Struthio camelus: one gene and its partner. The protein of the gene in region 1 purifies or fractionates together with the protein of each later gene. This does not show direct contact. Links are inferred from orthologs where the notes say so. Each region holds a gene or a part of one and is shown in the gene's direction. Other genes may lie near its edges.

Region 1 (7,114 bases):
TGAGGGTGTTGAAAAATGAGCTATGATCTCATTGATGATGAGATCGTTGACGGGTTGATCGCTAGACTTGGGGGAGATGGTTTTGAATTTTTGCCATTGCTTGTCACTTCAGGTTACTCTCTCAATTATTACCTCTCAGGTAAATGATTCCTCCGAATCTTTCCTCCTCATTGGATTTCTGAGCTACTATGCCTAAATGTTTCGGCCCTCGTTTCTTTAGATTAAATAGTAACTTTAGTTAACTGCTTACGCTTCTGGGCTCAGAGAAGGCCGTTCCGTATCCTCTGTACAACCCTGTATGGAACAGTTCTTGCAACAGAACACCTTCTGTCTGAATCAGTGTCAACATGTTATTCATGTGTTCAGTGTGGTAGCCTCACAAAAGGAAAACGAAATTTTAGAAACAGCATTGCTTGAATCAGTAGAAATACTTGAATAGCGTCAAGATTGCAGCGTCTGGTCCTTAGTTCTCTTTTGCGAAAGCATTACCCAGCAACAAATGAAATGAAGCCAGCATAACCATTTAAAATAGCAAAGTAAACAGTTCATGTCGTAGTCAAGATAATCCTTAATTTCTGCTGCTTATCTGAGATCTGCCTTGCCGATCTGATGGGAGGATTTAACCTTCCTGAAAGCTGTTATTTGTGTATGTACTTGAACTGGGAAGACCTCTTTCCACCTGCTTTTCAGAGCCCTTTCTCCCAGAGGATTAACCCATACCGCTTTTAGAAAGAAAGCGTCTCTGAAATATGGATTATTTTTAGAGGGATATACTGTGAATATTTTTCTACAATACTTAGGAATTAAGGAAAATACTTTAAAAAATGCCCATTTAAAAGATCCGTATTTGTTTTTATTGAGGAACCATGTCGTCTCAAATAGTCTCTCTTAATTTCTGTCTTACAAAGATACATGTGTAATTGTGGAAATTAAAAAAGAATTGTTTGCTTATGGTTACTGCCAGTTGTGTAATCAACTCAGAAAATAAAAACTACAGAGAATTTTAATTACCAATTCCTTTGCATTATCTGGAAACTGGTTTTGTAATTTTCTGTTTCTCTTGGGATGCTCTGTGAAACACATAATGGCAGAGCAGATGGCCCATCTTCTATTTCAAAAAAGACAAGTAATATTCTGTTCAAAAGGAAGTCTGAGAGGGGTTTCACGGTGATAGGGGCTAGCCCAATCTAACATTTGGATCAAAACAAAAATCTGAGTAAGTTTAATAGGTTTAATGTATAATAACTCTTTTCACAAGTCAATGACTATTTCTGATGTTATCCTTACTATGTTTCTTAGCGCCTATTTTAGAAGGGAAAAAAAGCCACCTTTAAACTGAGAATCTCTAGTATATCTGTGCCTTTGGGAGGAGGGAAGAAAATCATTGTGTGGAGCTTCTTAAGGTTAGTAATAGTAAGACAAAGTAGATGTGGCCTGAAGTATGCAGCAAAAGCTCTCAGAAGAGGGAATGAGTCACTTGCCCTTGAACTCTGTGAATCTGAAACTATATTTATCATTTGCATTGTTCCCGAGTCGTGCATTTGTAGTTACACAATGAACAACTTGCATTCTCTGCCCTGAAAAGCTGAAACACATGCAGGGCAATTTCCAGGGAGAGAAGTTGAGGATTCATTTCCTGAAGGAAGTTTCAAGAGAAAGTTTGATGAGGAATGCTTGCATTGGGAGGTTAGTGATGTGAAGCTGATACTAAAAGATTAAATAAAGGAATAAAGCAATAGCATATGAAGTAAAAAAAAGGAAATGAGTAAAATAAAAGAGTTAATATAGGGTCAGAAATGTGTAACACGGGGTACTGTTATGAGGGAAGTATTTTTATTGTTAATGTAGTACTTTTTTTTTCCTTCCCTTTTTTATTTCCTTCCCCAGAATAATGTTCTGAACAGAAATCAGAAAAATAAACAGAAAGATCCAGATCACTGCATTTTGCATTCTTCCTCTTCTTCCCCCCTATAGCATAAGGGAGGAATTAGCCAAGTTTTTCAACTAGGTCAGTTGCTCACCAGCTGGTTTGTGAAAGAGTGCTGCTGTCGCAACAAAATTTCACCTTGGCAATGAAAATCAGCAGGGAATCTTTTAAGTGTTTGTAAGGCTGTGTGTTCAATTAGTGACCGAGTGGAAAGGTGCTTGCTGTCTCTGATCTCAGAATAGTGGTCCCCGCCGAGAGAAGGGAAAAGGGGCTGGAGATGCTTCTCTTCTTTGTTTAGAGTATTTCGAACAACGGAATTTTAAAAATGTTTCTTTAAGAGAAATAATAACATTGGGCTGCATGATGAAAGATGCAGTTATTGGCTTGCCAAGCAGCCTTAGCAAATGGAAACCCGGAGTTCATTCCAGGAAATGTAATAGGTAACACAATAAATATGTGAGAACTGTAGGTACTTTGCATTTTTGTATGTGAGGTAACTGTAACACAGGATTACACATCCCACAGTGATATTTCAAGTTTCCTTGTTCAGTGGGAAGTAAAACCGCTAGTGCACTGAGGCTCATTTTACAGGCGTAGATTATCAGCTCTCTTTGAATCCGCTTCCAAAAATTCTCATGGCTGTTGTGATGATTTATTAGCACAGGAAACTCCTGTGGGCATTTGTGCTACGGTGTAAGCACAAGCAAAGGCTCTTCTGAACACACGTTTATTACAATTATGTAAAACTTTAAGTGCATAGACAAGCAACTAACAAAAAAAAAACCCCAACTTGTGTTTTACATGGTTCTTTAAGAGCGATTTACTCTGCTTAGACAACTGTTGGTTCGGGAGGTAGAAAATAAAACGCCAGTATGTTTAGCGTGAAGCACTTCCGATAAGGTTTGCAGCAAGCTCGTTTTGACGCAGCACTACAGCCCTGCCCGGAGCACGAAGACAGAACAAGGAGTGAGCCTCAGCGCACGAGTTAAGTTGCTTGTAAGGAAATTCAGCAGTAGTTGCACCGGGCTCTGAAAGCGCCTTTGCTCAGAGCCTGACGGCCCCTGAGAAGGGGGAAAGCGACAGCAGTCCCAGCACGGGCTCCCATGCTGGCGTCGCCGGCCAAGAGAGATCTCCTCTTCCAGCGTCCTTGGTCACGACCCAGGCCGCTGGGATGCGGGCCGGCAGCCCCCAGTTCAGCAGCGGTTTCCTTCCCCGAGGCCCGGCCGGGCCCGCACCGGCCGCGACGCCCGCTCCGGCCCGCGGCAGCGTGACGTCACGCGCCGCGCCGCCGCCCGCGCAGGCGGCGGTTGGGCCGGCGCCGGGCTGCGAAGGAGCGAAGGAGGGGCGGCGCGGCCTTCGCTCTGACTGCGCGCCGGCCGCCGCGCTCCGTTCGTCCCGCTGCCCAGCTCTTCTCTCTCTGCTCGGGGAAGGGGGGGGGGCTGTAACCATGGCAACGCCAACGTGACACGAGCCAAGCCCGTTCCTAGCGCGTTTCACAAGAAACGGGAGTAGAAACGGGCGCTGGGGCGCTGCGAGGAGGCCCGGCGGCGCCGCACGGAATGTCGCCCCCCGCAGGTGCCCCCGTTGCCCCGGCCTCGCCCTCGGGGCCGCCGCAGCCGCCCGAAAATGGTGGCGGCGCGGCCCGGCCCGGCCGCTGGCGGCCCGCTGCCGTGTCCTCGCCCGCCCCCTCCTCCGCCAGCTGGCGCCCTTCTCGCCGGCTCCCGGCGGAGCTCCCGCCCCGCGCAGGCGGCCTCAGGCGCCCAGACCCCGGTGCACCGCGGCGGCCCGGCCTGCCGCCGGGGCGTGGCCGAGCCGGAGTGGCGTTGGCGCTGGCCAATGAGGGAGCCGGCTGGCTGACAGTTAGGCGGGCGCCGCCAATGAGGGAGGCGCGGGGGCGGGCTCGGCGCGGCGCGAGCGGCGCGGCAGGCGGCCGGCTGGGGCACTCGGCGGAGGGAAGTGGCGCAGCATGATGCGGCTGTGGCGCTCGGCGCTGCTGCGGGAGCTGCTGCGGCTCAACCAGCCGCCGGGCCCCGCCGCCGGCCCCGCCCGCCTCCCGCCGCCGCTGGCCGCCTTCGGCGCCAGCCCGCCCGCCTCCCGCCGCCGCCCGGCGCTGCCGACGGCGCGGGGGCTCTGCACCCGCTCGGAGGGGGCCCTGGAGGAGCCGGGGAAGGCGGCGCAGCAGCCGCCGGCGCCCCCCGCCGAGCCCCCCTCCCCCGCCGGCGGCCCCAACAACAACCACGGCGGCGGCGGCGGCAAGGAGCTGGCCGGAGGCGGCGGCGGCGAGAAGTGAGTGCGGCGGGGCGGGGCGTGCGGCGGCGGCGCCATGTGAGCGGCGCCCTGCGCGGGGGGCCGGCGGGGGGGCCCGGGGCAGGTGCGGGGCATCGCCGCCCCCCCCCTCCCTTCCGCCCTCCGCGCCCCCCCCCACCCCTCCTCCGCGGCCGCCGCAGGGTCCTGCCGCCGCCGGCCGCGGCGAGTGCGGGGCGTGGGGCGGGCGTCGCGGTGCCCGCGCGGTGTTCGGGCCGCTCTGCGTGGGCCGCTGGCGCGGGAGGCGGCCGCGGAGGTCGGTGGGGTCCAGCCGGCTGTGAAAGGCGGCCTAGGAGCGTAGCCGCAGGCGGGCAGGAGATGTGCGCGCGTGGGGCGGGGCAGCATCGTTTCCCTTCCCCCCCCCCCCACGCGCCGTGCCCGCGCGCACGTGCTCGAAGTCGCTTCCCCGTCCTGGCGCCGCCGCCGGGCTCGGGGTCGGCGCCGCGTCCCCGGGAGGAGGCCGGTGGGGCGTTGTGGTTGTTTGTTGGTGGTGTGTGTTTGTTTTTTTTTTCCCCCTAGGGCTGCTGTTTGCATAAGGTGCTTTTTCGCGAGAAGTTAGAGCTGCGTCATCTTCCAGTAGTAGTTGAGGTAGCGGCGTAGGTCTGCCTTGGGAGTTGTACAGCGGTGTCTTCAGCATGCCTATCCGCGTCTGGTGTGCTTAGGGGTAGGTGCCAGGTGGCGGTACGGGCAAGCGTTTACGGGGCGCTACAGCCTGTGTCCCTCTGCCAGGGAGGTCCCGATTTGTGCCTAGGTGACAAAGGTACGTGAAGGTGTGAGAATGATACCTTGAAGTTCGTATTCCTTCAGCTAGAACTTCAAATACTCCTGCAAGAATGGGTCGGGGCAGGCATAGCGACTCCCGTTTGTGTCCCTAGTGATGACCAGCAGCAGCTACCTGGGACAGAGGATAATGACAAGGCAAACATAGCGATGACTCTCTTGAATGCTCTGTTAGCCTCCAGCGTTATGCAGTTCTGCAAAGAGTCTCTTGGGAAAAAAAAAAATTGTTTTTGCCTCCTAGTTTGTTCCTTAGCTTTTTTGAGCCTGTGTACACTTTGTATCTTTGTTAACCTCTTAGAAAAAGTGTAACAGCCTAGCTGCAAGCCCTGTGAAGACCCATCCCCTTCATGCTTGTTTGGGACCTGCCCCTTGGCTTTCTCACAGACTGCCCACGTGTCGACTTCCCTGTGCCCTGTATAGGGAGGTGTAAATAAAATCTGTAAAACCAAGCTTCTTTCCCATGCTTTGCTGCATGTATTAGCTGGAAGAAGAAAGGCAAAAAAGGGAGGGAGTAAGACCAAGACAGGGTATGGTGCTTTGACAGTGAGAGAAGTCATTGTTAACCTACTGCTACGAGGCAGTCTGGAAGAGATTCTACGAGGTCGGTCTGGAAGGCTTCAGCCCTTAGCTTGGTAATAGTTTTAGTTTTGGGAGCGTTTTTTAGTATGAGCTTGTACTCACTCGTCCAGTCTGGTAGCAGAGGAAAGAATCTATCTTGTTTTTCTTTTCCCCCTCCTCCCACCAAATATTTTGCTGCTTGGCTTGGTTCAAGCCTTTTGTTTCAGTGGCATACTGCCTTCTTTAAAGGCTTCAAGTGTAATTTCTGCTGTCAAACTGCTTTTAAAAAAAAAAGTGTATACACATGCATGTCAGATTATGTAACCATGCATGATAATACATATCATATATATATTTTATTGTTATTAGATTATATTGTTTGGTACATTGTTGTATATGAAGCCTGTGGTTTGAATTAGTTTTATGCATAATGTTTTGGAACAAAAAAATTACTTCAAAGGTGGTTCAAGTAGGTGTGGTTTATAAAGTTTATTCTTTCATTTTCAATGAGAAATACATACAGTGCCACTAAAAACTTCAAAAAAAAAACCCACTGTAAAGGGTTTTCTTTGAATTATTAAATAATATGTATTTCATAGCAGACCTTATGTTGGAAAGGTGATATATCCAAAAGGTGATGTTTTCTTAAACTGAGTATTTATAACTATTTCCCTAATTGACAGAACTTGTATTATTTCTAATACATTTGGAAAAGCTGTACGGTCATGAACCGATTAAACACTTAAAAAAAATTTTTTTTCCTTTGACAACCGGATGTGTTTGAAAGTCAGATGCTTGTTCTTTGAGCCTTGCCTCCAAATATACAAAGAACAATTATCTAAAGCATTGAAAAAAAGGATAGCTGTGCATTTAGTTAGGAACAAAAACAGTTTCTTTTCAGTTCAGGCTGTGCAGGAATTCCTGGTGGCCCATTAGCCAAACTTCTGGCTAACGTGGATCAGCCAAACTGCTGGACGCTTTCGTTCTTCTTTTCCTCAATGCAGGATCGTGACGGTCTTCCTTAAGCATCTCTATGTGGTACAGAGCATGTGGAAGTCATTGCTGTGTTCAGGCAGGGTGTAGGATTTGGAAGGAACGTGAAGATCTCTCGGATGCTGGACTGACTTGGCAACCGGTCTGAGTTAGTCCAGTCTGTGTTCCGATTCCAGCGCCTTGCCATCCTGTCATTCGCACTGGAGTTGTTTTGCAGATGGATTGCGGACAACAATCTTTTTTTGCTCTTTTGCTCTTCTGTTATCAAGTCATGGTTCTGGGAAACTGGAATAACCTGCGATGTCAAAAGACAGAACTGAGATTTTTCTTCCTTGTTTGCTTGCTTAACAGTCTTGTGCAAAGAGAGTAGTAGTTGCAACTAAAAAGTTAAAATGTTTCATGCAAAGACTGTACAGAAATGTAGAACAGGTTAATCCCTAGTAGGCCCCTTGAGCGGCCTGGGGGAATAACTAGGATCCCATTGCATAACCTGTTTATTTCTCCAGATCTACTTGCACGTGTTTTCCTAAATATCTATCCTTCATGCCTTTA
Region 2 (8,225 bases), on another chromosome or scaffold:
TCGACAAATAATAGTCAAAGATATTTACACATCAACACTACAGTTATATGTGCTAATGAAATTTCCGACAATTAATTCTGTGCATTTATTTTCATTGAAGGGAAGCACGATGGAACTGTAAAAGGCAGAGAGTACTTCCGCTGCAAACCACGACACGGTGTGTTTGTTCGTCCAGGACGCCTCAGTAAAGCACCAGCTTCCTCAAAGAAATCAAGTAGCACTTCACGATCTCAGGCATCTTCCACTTCAGAGAAACGGAGAAGTTCTCTACTTCAAGGGTCATCATCTGCTTCTAAAACAGGAGGAGATGTCCTCTGTCATTCAGGAGATGCGGCGGCTTCTGCTTTTTCTAGGAAGCAGGAAAACAGGAAATCTTGGATTAACTAAACTGCAGTATTTTTGCACTTACTACACACATCGCTGTGTAGAAAACTATGGATTTTTGAAGCTATTGTACATTTTAATCTGTCCATACCGAATGTGTACTCTCTAGAGTCCTTGACTTAATTCCCTAATTTTTTATAAATAATATATATATTATATATATATGAATGTGTATCTATAGTTTGTCTGCCACGGAGCAGATATGGCTGCACACTAAAATACAGTTAAAGCTGATCTGTAGATAACTGAGGTACTGGACTGTTTGTTACACAACAACTTGGGAGATATATTTTAAACAACAAAGAAAATATTTTATTGTGGAAAAACAAGGATGTAAATCCGTATTTGAAAAACAAAAAAAACCACTACGGTTTGCTGTTCTTAATTACCAAAGAACTTGTTTTAGACTGACACATTTGCTGTTTATATCTTTCTATTGTAAGTGTTTTAACTCATAGCTTGGTGCCATGTTTCTTTTAGTCACTGGGCACCATGCTGCCTTATGTTCTGTGTTTAAGCACACTGAAATATCTGACTGCTTCATATTTTTTTGTCTTCCTAGAGGCCTGCCACTGTGCTGACTTGGCATTGCATTGAAAAGACTAACAATGCCTGAAGCTGTAAGTCTGGCATTTCATAAGTTAACATAAGCCAGCTGGGCAGTTTGACTGCAGAAACAGTATTACTGCAAGGGTATGAGAGGACAACACTGTGAGGTTTTGGGTGTTTTTTTTTGGTGGGGGAGGGAACAGGGAGACAAAGAAGCAGTAAATGGATCATGACTGCAAACTTTGCACTTGTTACTTGCTGGTTATTATCAAGATGAAATAGAGCCTGCTAAAGTAATCTTAACCTGTAAAGTTTATTTTAATAATGGGAATAATGGAGGGATTTATGTATGGTGCTCATGAATTCCTAAGAAGGTTGTTCCACATGTAGATACTGTAGATGCCTGTACAAGTGTTCTGGTTATTTGTAAAGTAACATGGTAAAAATGAGTGAAGTGAATGGCCTGCTGTATCTGTTCTTTGTTTCTTAGCAAGTGAATGAATGAGATATCTGGGACCTTACTGAAAAGCTGCTGTTTGTTCTTTGATTGTTGTGTACAGTAAGCGGACTCTAGTATTTTACTATTTGCTGTAAAGAACTGTAATTTATATACTGCCATACTGTATTTAAGTGGTACAAACCTTTTGTGTGTTAGAATACAGACTGTTTACTTGGGATTTTAAAGAAAACGTTTTGCTTGTATTTGATACAATTAGGTTTAAACTTGATGCTGTTACTGGTTCATGGTGCTCAGATTCAAAGTACTTTGTAAATACGCTGAAGGATAAGATGCTCAGAGTAGAAGACCGGATGGTATTAATCCGTTTTATCACTGACCGGCCTAAGATGAGAATAGCTCATGGGGATACACCTCTGTTCCTCAGCTGCTGGTTTTCCCCCCCCTTCAGAGGTGGGGGAGCGGTGCTGTGCAACTCCTGCCAACGGGTGGCGCGGGTCAAGGGGAGCCTGGACACGTTCCTAGGAGCTAGGTTCATTACTAACTATGTCAAAGCCCCAACTGAGCAGAACACAGTTGGCAGCTGGTGGGGGAAATTGAGTGTGTTTGCCCTTGACACTGCTTTTGGCGACTCTGAGCGAGGATTCTTATGTGCTTATGGAATTGATTTTGGTGGGACAAGCATCTTTGCAGATCCTTTCATATTTCTGATATTCACCTAGGGTTGCTCTCACTGCATTAATGATACTGCTGTTGGAGGAAATTACCGTAATAAAAGAACCACTGTATGCAAAAGCATTTTATCAAGGACAGCAGGTGATCCTACAACTCTGCCAAGTATCTACACTCAACCCACCATCTTGAAATTAATTTTAGATGTCACTTCAATCTTCCTAAAAATAGTCTCCCACACATGCACCCACTCTGTGTGTGTCTCTCTCACTGTCTCACATACTCGCTCACTCACCCAGATATATTTCTCTTAGGACAGCATAAACAATTTTGAAAGTTAATGGGGTTATTTTCTTAGGGCAAAGATGTAGTACTTCTACCAGGTTAGCATCAGACACACCAGGCTGTTCATTGTTTTAGGCTGTTGAGAACATAGAATACATGGTTGCTCAAGAAACACTGGAATAATTGTGCTTCTTTTGGTATACAATCTATAAATGCCAGAGAAACCTAAACAAGCCAACCTATTTGTGTACTATACACATTTGGCATAACTTATGCTCTCATGGCTTCTCTTACTATTGAAAGACCTGTACTTCTGCGAACCTTCCATGCTGACATGTCCTGCCCGAGGTTAATGTAAAGTTAGGATGAACTTACTTAATGAGTGCAATGCAATAATGTGAAAATGCAGGCATTTTATTTGATTTGCTCCTCAAACTTTGTTGCTTAAATAGAGAAGCACTTTTTCTATTAGTAATGTCAGAGTAACAGTTTGGTGTATTGAACTTCATAATCAACTGAAGAATGCGGTGAATTTTGGCCATGGTGACTGTCCAACTGCGTATTGTTTTTCTTTGGTTTTTATAAAATATTATCTTAACTAGCATCTAATAGACACTGTCTAATAAGCAGAATATACAATCCATGCTAAGCCCTAGGTTTAAAAATAAACCAACTGCAAATATAATACTGAACAATACAGAGTAGAACCAGCCTGTCATTTGTCTGAGCTGGCAGAACAAACCTGTCATCTCAGTGAGTTGGTTAATCCAAATAGTATTATGTAATTTTAATCATCAAGATGGTTACAGTGTTAAATCAGATCGTACTGGTCTTTATCTTGTTTTCTGAATTTGCTACTATTTTTTTTTTTCAAGCTAGGTGCTTTCATGAAGATTCAGCCAAAGCATTCAGAGAACTGAAACAGCTGATGCACCCCAAAAACCAAAAGCACAATGTTTAATCAGTACTTCTCATTGTTTCAAATATTCCCCTGCAAAAGACTTCCTTGACATTTGCAACTGAAGGCAGGATATTAAATGCTGTGACGTAAGTAAAGAGTAGCCCCGTGAAAAGTGTAACGAATGAAAGGTAGGCTGTAAACCAGGGGGACCAGCAGCTGTATGTTCTCTTCCCCTACACTGTGCATAAGTGCTTCTGACGTTTTGCCTGTCCCTCCTGCTTCCCACTGATAACTCTTTATGTCCTGCAGGTACCGGCTGGGTCAGAGGCAAGAGCTGCTGCCTGGTTGTGGGGGCTGATTAGCAGGGTGTAGGCTTGAGCAGTACTTCTGCTGTAATGGCAGAACTTGCATTTCAATCTGTCTTATGATGGGGTGCACGTTTTAGGGGACTTCTCATCTGTTGAGCTGAACGTTTTGAAATGATATCTCAAATTGATTGAAAAGAAGCTGAAGAGAATGAAAATTTGGGAAGGGTGGAAAGAAAGAGGATGGATGAAAGCAATTGCTATGGCTTGTTTCTACAGGAAAACAAGGTACAAACAGCTTGCTTCCTAAAGACTGTGGAAACTGTGAATTAAGCTGTCTTTTTTTTTTTTTTTTTTTAATGTTGTGAATGCCTAAGTGGTGTTAGTCTAGCAGTGTACAGGAGTCTTGTTGATTAACATGCAAACTGTTAATGCCTGAGACTGGACCTCAAACTGATGACTCTGGAGAAGCATCTAGCTTTTCAAATACACTTGTGTATAATTTAATCTAATATGTGCTAATTCTGACATTGCACAAGCCACTAAAGTAGAAAAGGAAAAGTACATGGCAGTGTTCAGAGGGAAGCTGTGATTCCACGGAAGTTGGTTGCCCTCCATCCTCTCCTGCCCAGACCCTGCCTTAAAACCAAATGTGGACTCTGGTCAGTCGCCCTAATGAAGTGTATTTGGAATACACAACCCTACCAGAATACTTGAATGTTACATTTCCTTGTGCAGCCCTGCAAGAATCAGCATGTTACATAGGTAATTTTTAAGAACGTGGAGAGAGTGTGATTATATAGTCTTATTAGAGAAACGCAGACATGGCTTTGAAGAAGATAAAATATTTTTAGTAGATAGAAAAAGGGAAAAAGTGTGCTTCCTATTTATGCTGTTAGGCAAACTGAAGCGGTACGAAAAATGCTTAGCCATAACGTGTATAAGGTTTGAGTGTATTAAGCTTCAGGAACTGAACCTAAGGCGGGGGGCTGCAGCGGGCGGTTCTCTGCCCGGCCGGCTGTGCTGCGGGGGCTCTCCCCTTGCTGGCGGCTGGGCGCCCCGGGATGCGCGGTCCCACGCAGCCCTCGCTCCAAGGTGGAGCCACTACGGGATTAGGGGAGTAACATTATTAAACGCCATCTGGTAAATGGAAAAACGCGACCGCTGGCTCAGACTCTCTGCTAGGTTGCTGAGAGCAGGGCTTTAAAAAGGGGGAAGGAGGATTATCCTTTCCCCGCTCTTGGGCGCCAGGCTGTGGCCCAGCTTGCCTCTTTGGCCTTAGCGCCTAAACGTTTTGTGGTACATAACCAAGAGATAGCGCTGTTCAAATACACTTGCATGGCAACGTCATTGCAAAACCTCGGCCTTTAGCTTTGCCGGCATGCATTTCTAATTTATTTATTTATTTTTTTCTTTAAATTCCTCCCCCAAGCGCCGCTTCCAGAGCCACCGCGCACGCAGAGGCGATCACGTCGCTGCGCCGGGAGCTGCGGCAGCGCCGCCCCCGGGGCGGCCCCGCTGCCGGCGGGCGGGACGTGCCGCTCCGCACGGATCGGCCTCCGCCGCCGCCGCCTCCCCGCCCGGCCGCGGCCTCCGCTCGGGCTCGCCGCAGAGGTGGGTGCGCGGCGGCAGCGGCGTCCTGGGCCTCGCTGCGGCGCCGGGGGCGGGGAGCGGGCGGCTGCCGCCGCGGCGCCGGGGTGAGGGCCGCGCGCGGTCGGGGAAGCGGCGCTGCGAGCCTGGGTGCTGGATTCCTGCCTCCTGCGACCTCGGAAGGGAGAGGGGAGGTCCTCTCCGACGGAAACCTCGGCGAGCACACGTCCTCTAGAACTGGAGAATATTTCGGTGGCTTTTAAATGCCCAGGAAGGATTAAAAGAGAGGGAGGGGCCGGACGAATGCGTTTTGCCTGTGGTGAGCATAAATGTAAAAACGCTTTTCTGCGCTTCCCTTTTACTTTTGTATAGCTGAGAGCACGTACGTTCCTGATAGGACGAACCCCGTTTAGCAGCCAAGAGGACGTTAGATGATGATATATGCGCGTTGATTTCCTTCACGTTGAATCGCTTGCAAGAGTTGCACGATGCGGAGGGGGTTGTACGCTGCGGGTGCAAAAGAGGTGGCGGCCTCCTGTCCTGAGAGCAGAACTGCTACAGTTCAAAGGCAGGAATTGGCGAGGGGTCGGCACGGCGCTGCCGGACGCCGGCTGCTTTGCCCTGCCTCGCCGGCTCAGGCCGAAGGCACCTCTTTCTTTGCCTGAAGAGCCCTGGACCGCAAAGTCCCCAGCCAAGGCAGAAGCTGCAGTAGCTTTGTCCCGTTCTGAAGCCTCTCTAGCATGTGCGCGTTGATGTCTGTCTGCTTTTCATCTTTAAAAAAAAAAAAAAAAAGGAATTAACAGTCCCACCCAGGAAATTACTCTTGCATAAGTCTGCAAATTTAAAAGCATCGCGTTAAGTTAAATATTGCACAGAAAATTGTAGCAGTGTGTTTTTATGCTGTAGTGAATGTATTTAAGGGCTCAGCAGTCTTTGCACAGACCCAATTTTCTTCCGCTCATTCCTAACTGGAAGCAAAACGAAGCAGAAGTGGTCACTCCAATTTTGGATCTCACGTTTGTGACATCTGCGTTTTGCAGCACAGAGGGAGAATTCAAAGATGCTATGATAGCCTTTATCTCCAAAAGAAAGAAAAGGCAGACCTGTTAAATCTCAGCAAGTGTTTTGTTTTATCTTGCAATTAAGAAATACTGTGGTCATGAATACGTCTCATACATAAAACTTCACTTGGCTGAATGAAGTGCAGGAGAAAAGCATGAATAGTGTTTATACTCCCCTCTTTATTTGTGATACAGAGACCCTACAGGAATATGCTCACTAAATGGCTCACTTGTGTTTCATTTATTGTATTTTCTTCAGATAAAGCACTTTGAAGTGATGCTGATGAGTCTCTTTCAGTTTACCACTAGAAGGCTGGTTTCCCAAGCATACTGTGGACTTAAGCCTTTTTCTTCAAAGAAACAGCGGTTTTGCTTGGAAATGGCTCGTCCTAGTTCAAGTAAGATATACATTTGTTTCTTTTAGTATATTAAACGGGTGTTAAACTAGACTTGAAACTCCAGAGAGTTTCATGTAATAGGCAAAGTCTATAGTTTAATTCAAAAACGTAGGTTCTTTTAAGGTTTAGGAAAGTGTGAAGTTGATTTTTTTTCTAGTGGGTGAAATTTGTCAACCATACCTATAAACTTGTATGGTTCCAAAAACCCTCACATAGTTGCAGTCAGTGTAGTTGCCTGTTGATGTTTTTAGTATCTGAAATTTATACACGTAAGTGTATACTTTCCTTTTCATGTTCCTAATGGGTATTGAAATTCACTCTCTCGCTTCTTTATGGAGGAGAATTATGGAGGGCCTCAAGCGTTTATAACAACTCAGGAGCAGGGCGTTAGGTAACTCCAGAAGCTTTGTTTAGTCTAGTCTAGTCGTGAAGTCTTTTTTGTTTTTACTCTGGGGTTGGTCAAACAGTGGAGCGGGTAGCCCAGGGAGGCTGTGGAGTCTCCGTCCTTGGAGACATTTAAAATCTGACTGGACAAGGTCCTGAGCAACCTGCCCTAGATGGTCCTGCTCTGAGCAGGGGGTTACGTGCAATCACATTAACTAGACGATCTCCAGAGGCCAGCCTCAGCGATTCTATGATTCTAGAATGTGTTGCTTTAAAGCTAACATCCAAGAAAGACTGAAAGAGGGCTTTTTGTCTCTCTATATTTTCCTTTTTGATCTTGCTTTGGCCCTTACTAAACTGGGAAAGAAATCTCCCATCTTTCTCCCAAGTTGGTTTACTGTACAGGGAAAAATGTAGGGAATATATATTAAAGATAGAAAATACAATTTCGAACCTACGAAGTGGGCAAGATGTTTTGGAAGGAAACATTTTTTCCCCAAATTACCATAATTTTCAAGGTGATATTTTGTAACTAAATGTTTGTGAAGACTAGATTTCTTTCATCCCAGGATCCTACCTTACAGTTAGGAAGCAAACTGTTCCTGGGTGGTGGTGGCTGCTGTTGTCATCATTGCACCATCTAGCATAAGGTTTTAGTTTAAGACTTCTATCTTTCAAATATAGAATATATTCACAGTTCAATGCATATTGCCCCACTGCGTTTGTTTGTAAGTATTTCTGAGCATCTCAAAGAAGTGCCCTTCTCGTTCCAGTATACAGAAGCTTAGAAAAAAATTACTATTCTGAAGGTAAAGTTATGGTAGGTGTATGTGGTAGCCATTTCTGGATGCATACGTTTGCCAGTACTACCCAAATGACCTCTTGAATAAAAGTGCAAATGTTTGAACAGCCTTTTTTTTTTTTCCCCTCCTCAACGTTTAGATATGGCTGATTTTCGAGAAGTGTTTGCCAAAGCAAAGCACATAGCCATTATTACGGGAGCTGGTGTTAGCGCTGAGAGCGGAGTTCCTACCTTCAGAGGGGCTGGAGGTTTCTGGAGAAAGTGGCCAGCACAGGTAGGTACTCATGGCGCGTGTCTGTTTTTTTTAATCAGTCAAGTAGGTAAGTACAATGAGTCAGGAAAACCTAGGTACCTTAAAGTGTTGAAGTGCTCCCAACAGTGTTTTGATAGTGACAGAGCTCTCCCTACAGTCGTGTTTGTGTGTCTTCCCCATGCCC

Evidence for each region.
Region 2: the proteins of GLS (region 1) and SIRT5 purify together in Homo sapiens (affinity purification with western blotting; 3 studies listed by BioGRID and IntAct, with this or other methods). This does not show direct contact. The link is inferred for Struthio camelus from reciprocal best matches to the Homo sapiens genes GLS and SIRT5.

What each region holds. Positions count from the first base shown.
Region 1 is NC_090947.1:14,525,871-14,532,984, reverse strand, and holds the start of GLS (glutaminase kidney isoform, mitochondrial), read left to right. Parts: upstream 1-3,878; 5' UTR 3,879-3,893; coding exon 3,894-4,213; intron 4,214-4,849; exon of another isoform or gene 4,850-4,895; intron 4,896-7,114. UniProt on the Homo sapiens protein: Catalyzes the first reaction in the primary pathway for the renal catabolism of glutamine. Plays a role in maintaining acid-base homeostasis. Regulates the levels of the neurotransmitter glutamate, the main excitatory neurotransmitter in the brain.
Region 2 is NC_090943.1:97,878,007-97,886,231, forward strand, and holds the start of SIRT5 (NAD-dependent protein deacylase sirtuin-5, mitochondrial), read left to right. Parts: upstream 1-5,056; 5' UTR 5,057-5,167; exon of another isoform or gene 5,168-5,474; intron 5,475-6,463; 5' UTR 6,464-6,481; coding exon 6,482-6,602; intron 6,603-7,928; coding exon 7,929-8,062; intron 8,063-8,225. Other genes in the region: kinesin-like protein KIF13A, read left to right, coding at 101-387. UniProt on the Homo sapiens protein: NAD-dependent lysine demalonylase, desuccinylase and deglutarylase that specifically removes malonyl, succinyl and glutaryl groups on target proteins.